Saccharomyces cerevisiae S288C: one gene and its partner. Each later gene encodes a partner of the first gene's protein in a complex. Each region holds a gene or a part of one and is shown in the gene's direction. Other genes may lie near its edges.

Region 1 (6,002 bases):
GGTCGATGGTTTGGCATTGCTCTGCACGATCAGATCAATCTGGAATAGTATGGGAATTGCCAAACGCAGCACCAGTGCACATGGATGTGAACCTATGGATTACTACGCAATGCACTATCGCATAGGCATAATCGATTGAACCCTGCCCCTCCCCTCCTTCAATATCATTACCTCGTTTTTTTTATTATTGGGTCATTTTTTAGCGACTAATAACCATTTCTGAGCAAACTAAGAAACCATTAGATCAATAAGCAATGGGTATGTCAGCACCGTGATTTAACAACCATGTGATTGTCGTAATGGCGCAATGTCATCACACCCTTTTACAGTCTTTTTATTCCTTTTGTTGAAAATGTATCGTGTATACTAACAGAACTGTGTTTTTTCTCATTATTTTTTATTCAGGTAGAGTTATTCGTAACCAAAGAAAGGGTGCTGGTTCTATCTTTACCTCCCACACCAGATTGAGACAAGGTGCTGCCAAGTTGAGAACTTTGGATTATGCTGAACGTCACGGTTACATTCGTGGTATCGTTAAGCAAATTGTCCACGACTCCGGTAGAGGTGCCCCATTGGCCAAGGTTGTCTTCCGTGACCCATACAAGTACAGATTGCGTGAAGAAATCTTTATTGCTAACGAAGGTGTCCACACTGGTCAATTCATTTACGCCGGTAAGAAGGCTTCTTTGAACGTCGGTAACGTCTTGCCATTGGGTTCTGTCCCAGAAGGTACCATTGTCTCCAACGTTGAAGAAAAGCCAGGTGACAGAGGTGCCCTAGCCAGAGCTTCCGGTAACTACGTTATTATCATCGGTCACAACCCAGACGAAAACAAGACTAGAGTCAGATTACCATCCGGTGCCAAGAAGGTTATCTCTTCTGATGCCAGAGGTGTCATCGGTGTCATTGCCGGTGGTGGTAGAGTTGACAAACCATTGTTGAAGGCTGGTCGTGCTTTCCACAAGTACAGATTGAAGAGAAACTCTTGGCCAAAGACCCGTGGTGTTGCCATGAATCCAGTTGATCACCCTCACGGTGGTGGTAACCATCAACATATTGGTAAGGCTTCTACCATCTCTAGAGGTGCTGTTTCTGGTCAAAAGGCCGGTTTGATTGCCGCCAGAAGAACTGGTTTGTTACGTGGTTCTCAAAAGACCCAAGATTAGATTATGTAAAATAGTCATTCTTTAAGCAAGATCTAAAAAAAAAAAGATAACTCAAAAAATTCCTCAAAGCAAACAATACAATATAACATAACACTTATTTTTAAAGAAAAATTTCTAAATTAGATTTTGTTCTGTAGTAATAGAATATTTCTTCAAAGTAAACTTTAATATACTCTCATAAGCTCCCCCCTTCTCCCCTGTGAAGCATTGCTTCATGGAGGGGGTTGACTTCTTGAATAAAATGGCTTTCTGCCTTACGCGTTTATAGTGATTACCGTGTTGCGTGGCTCTGATGATGGGCATTTCTAATTTTAAGATCAACAACAGTAAACACACGGTGCAGTCAAGAAATCTCGAGGCAGACCACGTAAATACAAGTCAATTTTAGTATCGTTACCGCATGAAGGTAGAGGAATTGATTATTGATGGTTTCAAATCATACGCTACAAGAACAGTCATTACTGATTGGGACCCTCAATTCAATGCTATTACAGGTCTAAATGGGTCCGGTAAGTCGAACATTTTGGACGCCATTTGCTTCGTGCTCGGTATAGCATCAATGAGCACTGTGCGAGCATCTAGCCTGCAAGATTTGATCTATAAGCGTGGTCAAGCAGGTGTTACCAAGGCAAGCGTAACCATTGTTTTTGATAATACCGATAAATCAAATTCTCCCATTGGGTTCACTAACTCTCCTCAAATCTCTGTTACAAGGCAAGTCGTGCTTGGTGGAACTTCTAAATATCTGATAAATGGGCATAGGGCACCTCAACAGTCGGTTTTGCAACTATTTCAATCCGTGCAGTTAAATATCAATAATCCTAATTTTTTAATCATGCAAGGTAAAATTACCAAGGTTTTGAATATGAAACCCTCAGAGATCTTATCACTGATTGAAGAGGCAGCAGGGACAAAAATGTTCGAGGATCGTAGGGAAAAGGCAGAAAGAACAATGTCTAAGAAAGAAACTAAATTACAGGAGAACAGGACTCTGTTAACTGAAGAGATCGAACCTAAACTGGAAAAACTTCGAAACGAAAAGAGAATGTTCCTAGAATTTCAGTCTACTCAGACTGATTTGGAAAAAACTGAACGAATTGTTGTATCCTATGAATACTATAACATTAAACATAAACATACATCAATAAGAGAAACTCTGGAGAACGGTGAGACTCGTATGAAAATGTTAAATGAATTTGTTAAGAAAACTTCCGAAGAAATAGACAGTTTGAATGAGGATGTCGAGGAAATCAAACTTCAGAAAGAAAAAGAACTACACAAAGAAGGCACAATCTCCAAGTTGGAAAATAAGGAGAACGGTCTTTTAAATGAAATTTCTCGTTTGAAAACTTCACTGTCGATAAAAGTAGAAAATTTGAATGATACTACTGAAAAATCAAAGGCTCTGGAGTCAGAAATTGCAAGTTCCTCTGCAAAGCTAATCGAAAAAAAATCGGCATACGCTAACACTGAAAAGGATTATAAAATGGTGCAGGAACAACTCAGTAAACAAAGGGATCTTTATAAACGAAAAGAAGAATTAGTTTCCACTTTAACCACAGGTATTTCCTCGACCGGTGCCGCAGACGGTGGTTATAACGCACAGTTGGCCAAGGCAAAGACTGAGCTGAATGAAGTCTCCTTGGCGATAAAAAAATCAAGCATGAAAATGGAGTTGTTGAAGAAAGAGCTATTGACAATTGAACCTAAATTAAAGGAGGCCACGAAAGATAACGAGTTAAATGTGAAGCATGTTAAACAATGCCAAGAAACGTGCGATAAACTACGAGCCCGACTAGTCGAATATGGGTTTGATCCATCACGAATTAAAGACCTGAAGCAAAGAGAGGATAAATTGAAGAGCCATTATTATCAAACATGTAAGAACTCTGAATATTTAAAAAGACGCGTAACAAATCTGGAATTTAACTATACGAAACCTTATCCTAATTTTGAAGCCAGCTTTGTCCATGGGGTGGTGGGTCAACTTTTCCAGATAGATAATGATAATATTCGCTATGCTACTGCTTTGCAAACTTGTGCCGGAGGTAGGCTATTCAATGTTGTTGTTCAAGATTCTCAGACGGCCACTCAGCTATTAGAAAGAGGAAGATTACGCAAGCGTGTTACCATCATACCTCTTGATAAGATATATACGAGGCCAATAAGTTCTCAAGTGCTTGATTTAGCCAAGAAAATTGCTCCTGGGAAAGTTGAATTGGCAATAAATTTAATAAGGTTTGATGAATCTATCACTAAAGCGATGGAATTTATTTTTGGAAATAGTTTAATCTGTGAAGATCCGGAAACAGCAAAGAAAATTACCTTCCATCCAAAGATCCGCGCTAGAAGTATCACCCTTCAAGGTGATGTATACGACCCAGAGGGTACATTGTCTGGTGGTAGTAGAAATACCTCTGAATCGTTATTAGTTGATATTCAAAAATACAATCAAATTCAAAAACAAATTGAGACCATTCAGGCTGATCTCAACCATGTAACGGAAGAGCTACAGACGCAATATGCTACATCGCAAAAAACAAAGACCATTCAAAGTGATTTAAATCTCTCGTTGCATAAATTGGATTTGGCTAAGCGTAATCTCGACGCGAATCCATCTTCCCAAATAATTGCTAGGAATGAAGAAATTTTGAGGGACATTGGAGAGTGTGAGAATGAAATCAAAACCAAGCAAATGAGCTTAAAGAAATGTCAAGAAGAAGTTTCGACCATTGAAAAAGACATGAAGGAGTACGATAGCGATAAAGGATCCAAGTTAAATGAATTAAAGAAGGAATTGAAACTATTGGCGAAAGAGCTGGAGGAGCAGGAATCGGAGTCAGAACGTAAATATGACTTGTTTCAAAACTTGGAATTAGAAACAGAGCAATTGAGCTCAGAACTAGATTCTAATAAGACGCTATTGCATAACCATTTGAAATCTATTGAAAGTTTGAAATTGGAAAATTCTGATTTGGAGGGAAAGATACGAGGTGTTGAAGACGACCTTGTAACAGTCCAGACAGAACTGAACGAAGAAAAGAAAAGGTTGATGGACATTGATGATGAACTAAATGAATTAGAAACATTGATAAAGAAAAAACAGGACGAGAAAAAAAGCAGTGAATTAGAACTACAAAAATTGGTCCATGACTTGAACAAATATAAGTCTAATACGAACAACATGGAAAAGATAATTGAAGATCTGCGACAGAAACACGAATTTCTTGAGGATTTTGATCTGGTGAGAAATATCGTCAAACAAAATGAGGGTATCGATTTGGATACTTACAGAGAAAGGAGTAAACAATTGAACGAGAAGTTTCAAGAGCTCAGAAAAAAAGTTAATCCAAATATTATGAATATGATAGAAAATGTTGAGAAAAAGGAGGCAGCATTAAAAACAATGATTAAAACGATTGAAAAAGATAAGATGAAAATCCAAGAGACTATATCGAAGTTGAACGAATATAAAAGAGAAACTTTAGTCAAAACATGGGAGAAAGTGACACTTGATTTTGGTAATATTTTTGCAGACCTTTTACCAAATTCATTTGCAAAATTGGTTCCATGCGAAGGTAAGGACGTAACGCAGGGTTTAGAGGTTAAAGTAAAGCTTGGTAATATATGGAAGGAAAGTTTGATTGAATTGTCCGGTGGGCAAAGGTCGTTGATTGCTTTGTCATTGATTATGGCATTGTTGCAATTTCGACCAGCGCCTATGTATATTTTGGATGAAGTTGATGCTGCTCTTGATTTAAGTCATACGCAAAATATAGGTCATTTGATTAAAACAAGGTTTAAAGGATCTCAGTTCATTGTAGTCTCGCTTAAAGAAGGTATGTTTGCCAATGCTAATAGGGTCTTCAGGACGAGATTTCAAGATGGTACCTCCGTAGTTAGTATAATGTGATGGTTAGTTTTCATAAGACAAATAAATATTGTAATGTAATCATATTTCAATAATTTTCTATTTGGCAGCCAATAGAAAAGCTTGCGCATAGAAGAAAACTAAAAGTAAAAAAAAAATAGAAATGTTCAAGACAGGTTCAATAAATAGATATTTAGTTTTTATTACTATATTAATTTAGTAGACTTCTAAAATGTATCTTGATGCTTCCTTTAATTCTTCAATTGCGGCATCCAAGTCGACTTTGATGCCTCTTTCCTCGGCGTCTTTAGCCAGAATGTCTTGCAAAGCTTGAGTAATATCTGGAACTGGCCAAGTAGGGCCACACAAGTAAAATGAACCTTTATTATCAATCATTGCAGTTTTTAATTCATCCAAATTCTCTTTGATACGATCTTGAATGTAAATTTTTTGAGGTTGGTCTCTTGAGAAAGCAGCGCCGATGTGTGTGATAATACCTGCATCTTTGTAAGCCTCCCATAACTCACCATATAAATATTCTTCTCTTTTGTGTCTTGAACCTAGATATAGGAAGACTTCACCAATCTCATAACCTTGCTGCTTTTGCCATAATTTCTCTTCAACAATGGCCTTGAATGGTGCCAAACCAGTACCTAAACCACTCATAATAACTGGTTGCTTTGGAGATGGTGGTAATTTCATAACAGATGGTTTAACGCTAACGACCAATTCTGAACCGACAGCAAGGTCTGAGATATACTTAGAAGCTTGACCGTACCTTTTTCTTCCTTTATTATCCACCCAATCAACAACAACGATCAATAAATGAACTTCATTTGGATGAACTTTCTGAGAGGAGGCAATTGAGTATTCTCTTCTCTTCAATGGTTCAATGATAGTAACAAGTTCCTCAAGAGATGGGCGAACAGATGGGAACAATTCAAAAATGTCAGCATATGTATAAT
Region 2 (6,429 bases), on another chromosome or scaffold:
AAGCGCTAAGACAAGGACCACGTTAAACGAGACGCCATTACACGATGATGAGCATAGAACTTCCTTCACCTACACCACTTGGAATAATTCTACCGATACATTGATGAAAAGAAAAGAGGAGCGACCAGTAGAATCAGCCTCTTGTTCTCAGTTATCCATTGCAACCATAAAGGCGGAAGAAGATTTACTATACCAAGATTATATCAACAGCGGGAGGGAAAGCTCATCTCCGGAAATTTCTCCCTTGAATACCACAACCTCATTACCATTTTTTCCAGGTGATAATATGAGTGACAGCTCAGGAGAATATGAGGAGAGAACCTCTCTTAGCCCTAATAAAATTCACATTTTTCGTGATTATTTTTATAAGTCGCCGTCACCCTAACCATCGCCCATATTACAATAATAACAAAATCCTTGGAATGAAGAGAATAAAATTTTAATTAAAATTAATAAAATAGTTAATCATATTCTTTTGCCTTCATAGATTAGATATGAAATATTTTGCTCACATAAGTTAATATTGCTTTTGCATTTTTGTTTCTGACTTTAGTTTCTCATTAGTCGAAATGACTTTAGTTCTTTAGAAATATTTTAAATTCAGTGGGGGATTTTCGTTCTTTATTGGTGCAAATAACGATTAGTTTTTCATTTCACGATATTTAGCTGCAGTTGATAGGTGATATATCTGCTTTAACTCTTACCTTTACAGTTTGTGATGAAATGATAGGTTTAAACAGTCGTTTAAAGAGTTGTATAACAAAAGGACTCTTAACAATCGAAGTTTTTTTAACATGTTAACACCATCTTTAGTAAACGTTATATTATTGAGTATGTGAAATATACTAGAAGTTCTCCTCGAGAATATACGAATCAATAAAAGAGAAACAATATTTCTCCACAAAATCTTATAATTATTACACCTTTCGTTTTATATGTTTCATTGTCCTATTACATTATCAGTCCTTGCATTTCAGCTTCCATTATATTTGATGACTGTTTCCCAATCTTTATGCCATCTTGTTACACCGCATATGATAATAGATTCTAGTAACATGAATACTACTAATAAATGATATTTTAGAGTTTCATTTCAACAAATATACTATGTGAAACAGTAGTCAAATTTAATATGAAACCGAACATGCGAGAATTGAGGATTAATAGGATGTGAAACATATAAAATGGAAGAAAGATAATTACAAAATTTTGTGGAGAAATGTTGTTTCCATGTTATTGAGTCTTATATCCTTGAGGAGAAACTTCTAGTATATTGTGTATACATAATATTATATTGCCTTAAGCAAAATGGAATCCCAACAATTATCAAATTATTCACCAATTGATCATACACAATAGTTGATTATCATTTCAACATTATAACCTTATACAGAGAGTAATATACTAATGGATGAATACTACCAGTAGAATAAGACATAAACAAATATGATTAATGTCACTTTTTGCTTTTTTGCCGTCATTCTTTTTTATTTTTGTATAATTGGTGGTGTAACGTGGATTAAACATAAATAATAGGTTTCGTGGTCTAGTCGGTTATGGCATCTGCTTAACACGCAGAACGTCCCCAGTTCGATCCTGGGCGAAATCATTTTTTATACCTGTTATATTTCATAGAAATGTAGTAGTATTGCGAGATGAATAAAATGTCTGCTATTCAATAGTAAGGGCTTCTTTCCCCCACCTCTTTTGTTTGATTTTAAAATTATTATCAAGTAACGCGTTGTTTTCTTGTCGCGAGCCTTTTATTTACAACGAGTAAGGGTCAGGATATCTATGGAGTTTCTAGCTTGATCGTTATCACAAACTTTACTACTAAATGATAATTGTTGGTATGAACAGTATATATATATATATATATACATGTTCTGATCTTGAAAAAAAAATAAATAAAAAATGTTATTGATTGCAAGAATTTGGAAAGCAATTCATATGAGAAATTAAAATAACCAATTCCAGATTCTTTTTTTTTTTTTTCACTTTTCGAATTAAGTATCTTAAATACTGCACTTGTATATTTATATTCTTACTGTTGTAAAAAGAAAGACTAATGGCCTTTGTCAATTGCACTTTGGGTAAATTGGAAAGCAATAATATGAAAATTAAACGCATCGCGAAAATCTTGCGACCATTTAGTAAACAAAGAAAATAACCTGTCACTGACCAAAAAAAAGAAAGGTAAAGGAAGCAGCAGTAACAATATCTTTATCCTTTGATAGGTGGTAACTGACTTCGTTACTTTATGAGATGTCCGGCTTTAGCCTTTCCGAGTATCTGACCAAGTTCCAAACAACAGATCGAGAATCATATCCTCGCTTGCAGGACCCATCCAGAGAACTGAATGTTATCATAGACCAATTGGCCGTTTCACCCGAACAAATAGATGCTAGTCCAGATTCACTAGAAGCATTAATAGATCTTTGCCATGACTTCCCGCACTTAACACCGAAATTACAAACTCAACTAAGCTATTTGATAAGTTCATCTCTGTCGAATCTGTCAAAAGATATTAAGGCTAATCTCTCATCAAATGTTAACTTTACTGAAATTGGTGGCCTGATACCGCAGTGGAAAAGGCATTTAGAAGAGTATGGCTACCTTATTCAGGTACTTTTGACGTTTTTACAAGATGAGTTACATAAGGTCTCCTCGCAGTCTACCAATCTAAACCGTTCTGCCAAAAACAGTAAGAATGATAGTGCAAACGTCGAGCTGTTTAAAAGAGACTGTAATCAAATGGAAAACTTGCTTGAATCTATAACAAAGCTACTGGAGATTAACTTATCTAAGATATTTCAGACAACTCCTGAAAAGGATTTGTTTATTGGTTTGTTCACAAGACCATTATTTGTGTTATTAGAGATTGAACCTGTGACGAAGGTATCATCACTAAAGATGTTTATTCAAAGGATTTTGGCTATGTGTGTTAAAAATCACGGTCAAAGTTCAAGTATACAAAGTTCATTGATGACAAATTTAACTTATTTTCTTCATTTGTCGGTTTTTAATGCAGAATTACTAAAACTATTGAATGATGAATATAACTATCCACAACTAACAGAAGATATCTTGAAAGAAATCAGCACCAGGGTATTTAACGCAAAGGATACCACAGGCCCAAAGGCAATATCAAATTTTTTGATTAAATTATCAGAGCTATCACCAGGAATAATGCTTCGACAGATGAATCTTGTCATCACCTTACTCAACAATAGTTCTATAACATTGAGATGTTCCGTTGTAGAAGCATGTGGAAATATTGTGGCTGAATTGGCTCAAGACCCACAAACTATGGAACATTATAAACAACAAATAGCCGTACTTATTGAGTTACTAGAAGAAAGATTCCAGGATTCAAATCCCTACGTTAGAACGAAGGCGATACAAGGGTGTTCAAAGATCTGCGATTTGAGTTCGAAATTTAACAAAAGCAAAGCTAAATTTACTTCGTTGGCAGTACGATCATTGCAGGACCGCTCCTCTTTAGTTCGTAGGAACTCAGTAAAGTTACTTTCAAAATTATTGCTAAAACATCCTTTTAAGGCCATACATGGTAGCCAATTGAGGCTGAGTGAATGGGAAGAATATCTCAAAGGATCTGAATCACAGCTAAATTCCACTTTAAAGAAAGTAGAGTCACAAGAAACTCTGAATGACACGATTGAAAGGTCTTTGATTGAAGAAGAGGTAGAACAAGATGAAGGTCAATGTAGGACCGAGTTAGAAGGTTCTTTCAATAAGAGCGCAGAACTTTCTAGAATAGAAAATGAGGTAGAGAATATAAATGCAACAAATACCAGTGTTCTCATGAAGCTAAAGTTAATGATTGTTTACTATAAAGATGCCATTAGTTTCATTAAAGAGATACACAAGAGTATTGAATTGATATCTAATTTGCTGTTTTCTAAGAACAGAAACGAAGTTTTAGAATCAATGGACTTCCTAGTTTTAGCAGACGCTTTTGACATTGAGTTAAGCGAATTTGGTATAAAAAAAATGCTGCATTTGGTTTGGATGAAGGGCACAAACGATGAAGGAACGAGTATATCAGTACATTTGATAGAATGTTATAAGCAGCTATTTTTAACCGCGCCAGATAGTTGCAATATGCAGGAGAAGGCGGCACATATTGCCAAAAATTTAATTAATCTAAGCATCGGCGCATCTATTGCAGACTTGGCCTCTTTGGAACAGCTATTAGGAATGATGTATGAACAAAAATTGATTGATCAACATGTCATTAATATCCTTTGGGCTATTTACAATTCTGCATCGAAGGCCAGTATGCAGAAAGAACAAAATGTGAACAACCGTGACTCCGAAAAAGGGTTTTCTAAGGAACAAATTCATGGTTCTATTATTATTTTAGGAATGTTATCGTTAGCCGATAACGAAATAGCATTAAAAGGACTGGAGTCACTTTTAAACATTGGACTTGGTGCCGTTGGTTTAAAAGATCTGACCCTTTGTCGGTATTCTTGTTTAGCGTTAGAGAGAATGGTTCCCAAGAGAAGCACTATTATTACCAAGGCAATAAATCAAGAGCTTGAAGATGTTGCAGTGAAAAAGTTGTATGCCATAATTATCAACTATACCAAGGATAATGAATATTATCCTATGTGCGAACAAGCGCTTAGTGCACTGTTTACAATCTCTTCTAAGCCCGATATACTAGCTACAGATCTGATTAGAGAAAAGACAATGATGACATTTGGTAAACCTGAAGAGGAAGACTCTATTTTGTCGTTAGAACAATCATCTAGAGTTGTTTCTCTCAGTCAATTATTATTCATTGTAGGACAAGTGGCAATTAAAACACTTGTCTATCTAGAGAAATGTGAGGCAGAATTCAAGAAAAGAAAGATCGAGGCAGAAACTCGGAACGGTAAAGTAAAAAACCAAGGTGCAGATGTAACTAACACCACACAAGATAACGGTGGTGATAAAGAGCTAGAAATGATAGGAGGTACTAATGAGGACGATTTCACGGATGCTATTCAATTTGTAAAAGAGAATGAATTACTATTTGGAGAAAAATCTATATTAGGGAAGTTTTGCCCAATTGTAGAAGAGATTGTTTCTAATTCAAGCAGGTTTAGCGATCCAATGCTTCAAAGAACGGCAACCTTATGTCTAGAAAAACTAATGTGTTTATCATCAAAATATTGTGAAAAGAGCCTGCCGCTATTAATCACAGTAATGGAAAAATCTCCTGATCCTACTATTCGCTCAAATGCTGTCTTAGGACTAGGTGACATGGCAGTATGCTTCAACAACTTAGTAGACGAAAACACAGATTATTTGTATCGCCGTTTGCATGATGAAAACTTAATGGTACAAAGAACATGTTTAATGACAGTTACCTTCTTGATTTTAGCTGGACAGGTTAAGGTTAAAGGACAATTAGGAGAAATGGCCAAATGCCTAGACAATCCAGACCAGGGAATAAGTGATATGTGCAGATTATTTTTCACCGAGTTAGCATCCAAGGACAACGCCATTTATAATGGATTCATCGATATCTTTAGTAATTTATCGTCAGATGATTTATTGGGTAAGGAGAGTTTCAAGAAAATCATCAAATTTCTGTTAACTTTTATCGATAAGGAACGGCACCAAAAGCAATTAAACGAGAAATTAGTTGGAAGACTGAGAAAGTGCGAGACCCAAAAGCAATGGGATGATATTGCATTCGTACTAAACAATCTACCATACAAAAATGAAGACGTCACTGCATTATTGGAGCAAGGTTTCAAGGTTGTATCCGCAAAAGAATAATCGAACTGACGTTTACCCGTTTCTTCCGTTTTATATTATATGTTATTATATAAATAAAAGCTGTTCATTTCTTTCTTCTTGAAATATGACTTTACCTATCTCGATAAAATTCATTTGTGGTCGTCTTCATTCACTCCTGGGCAATGCTCGTAGAGATCACCTTCATCCTTATACTTGATTCCGCAAAAAAAACAGTAGTACTTCTCGGACCTCAGGAATATATTCAATTTTGTTATTCTTTTTTCAATGCTCAATTCTTCTAATTCAGCAAGTTCTGTGTCTTTTGTAATGCGACTACCGATAATTGAAGTATCACAATCTATTAATGTAGAAGGACGTCCAAACTTTTCACCTTTTATTGCAGGCGAAGCCTCCAAACTTTCATTTACCATTGGTATCATATTATTCTTATCTTCATTATCATTGTTACTGTGATTATTTAGGTCATTTTTTGCTACTTCCTCATTTAGTTGCATAACGTAAGATCTCCAAAGTACGTTAAAGTCTCTCGGATCTTCGCCTGGATTGTATAAATCGGAATCACCCATCATTTCAAAAGCAACTTTTTGGATCCTATACCAAATTTTTTTTAACCGCTTATTATTTTTCATTTCACTTTCTCTTTTTATAAAT

The links. Proteins that work in one complex are often made in the same cells at the same time.
Region 2: the proteins of SMC2 (region 1) and YCS4 are in contact, whole or in part, in a cryo-EM structure (PDB 6YVV), measured with the Saccharomyces cerevisiae proteins. Residues at the interface, in NP_116687.1 of Saccharomyces cerevisiae: Ser53 (codon at 1,723), Ala59 (codon at 1,741), Ser60 (codon at 1,744), Leu62 (codon at 1,750), Gly111 (codon at 1,897), Gln124 (codon at 1,936), Asn139 (codon at 1,981); in NP_013374.1 of Saccharomyces cerevisiae: Val33 (codon at 2,362), Ile34 (codon at 2,365), Gln37 (codon at 2,374), Asn95 (codon at 2,548), Thr99 (codon at 2,560), Leu104 (codon at 2,575), Gln107 (codon at 2,584).

What each region holds. Positions count from the first base shown.
Region 1 is NC_001138.5:215,671-221,672, reverse strand, and holds SMC2 (condensin subunit SMC2), read left to right. Parts: upstream 1-1,566; coding exon 1,567-5,079; downstream 5,080-6,002. Other genes in the region: 60S ribosomal protein uL2 RPL2A, read left to right, coding at 255-258, 406-1,166; MET10 (sulfite reductase subunit alpha), read right to left, coding at 5,254-6,002. UniProt on the Saccharomyces cerevisiae protein: Central component of the condensin complex, a complex required for conversion of interphase chromatin into mitotic-like condense chromosomes.
Region 2 is NC_001144.5:683,039-689,467, reverse strand, and holds YCS4 (condensin subunit YCS4), read left to right. Parts: upstream 1-2,265; coding exon 2,266-5,796; downstream 5,797-6,429. Other genes in the region: protein phosphatase regulator PIG1, read left to right, coding at 1-385; CMG1 (Cmg1p), read right to left, coding at 5,907-6,429. UniProt on the Saccharomyces cerevisiae protein: Regulatory subunit of the condensin complex, a complex required for conversion of interphase chromatin into mitotic-like condense chromosomes.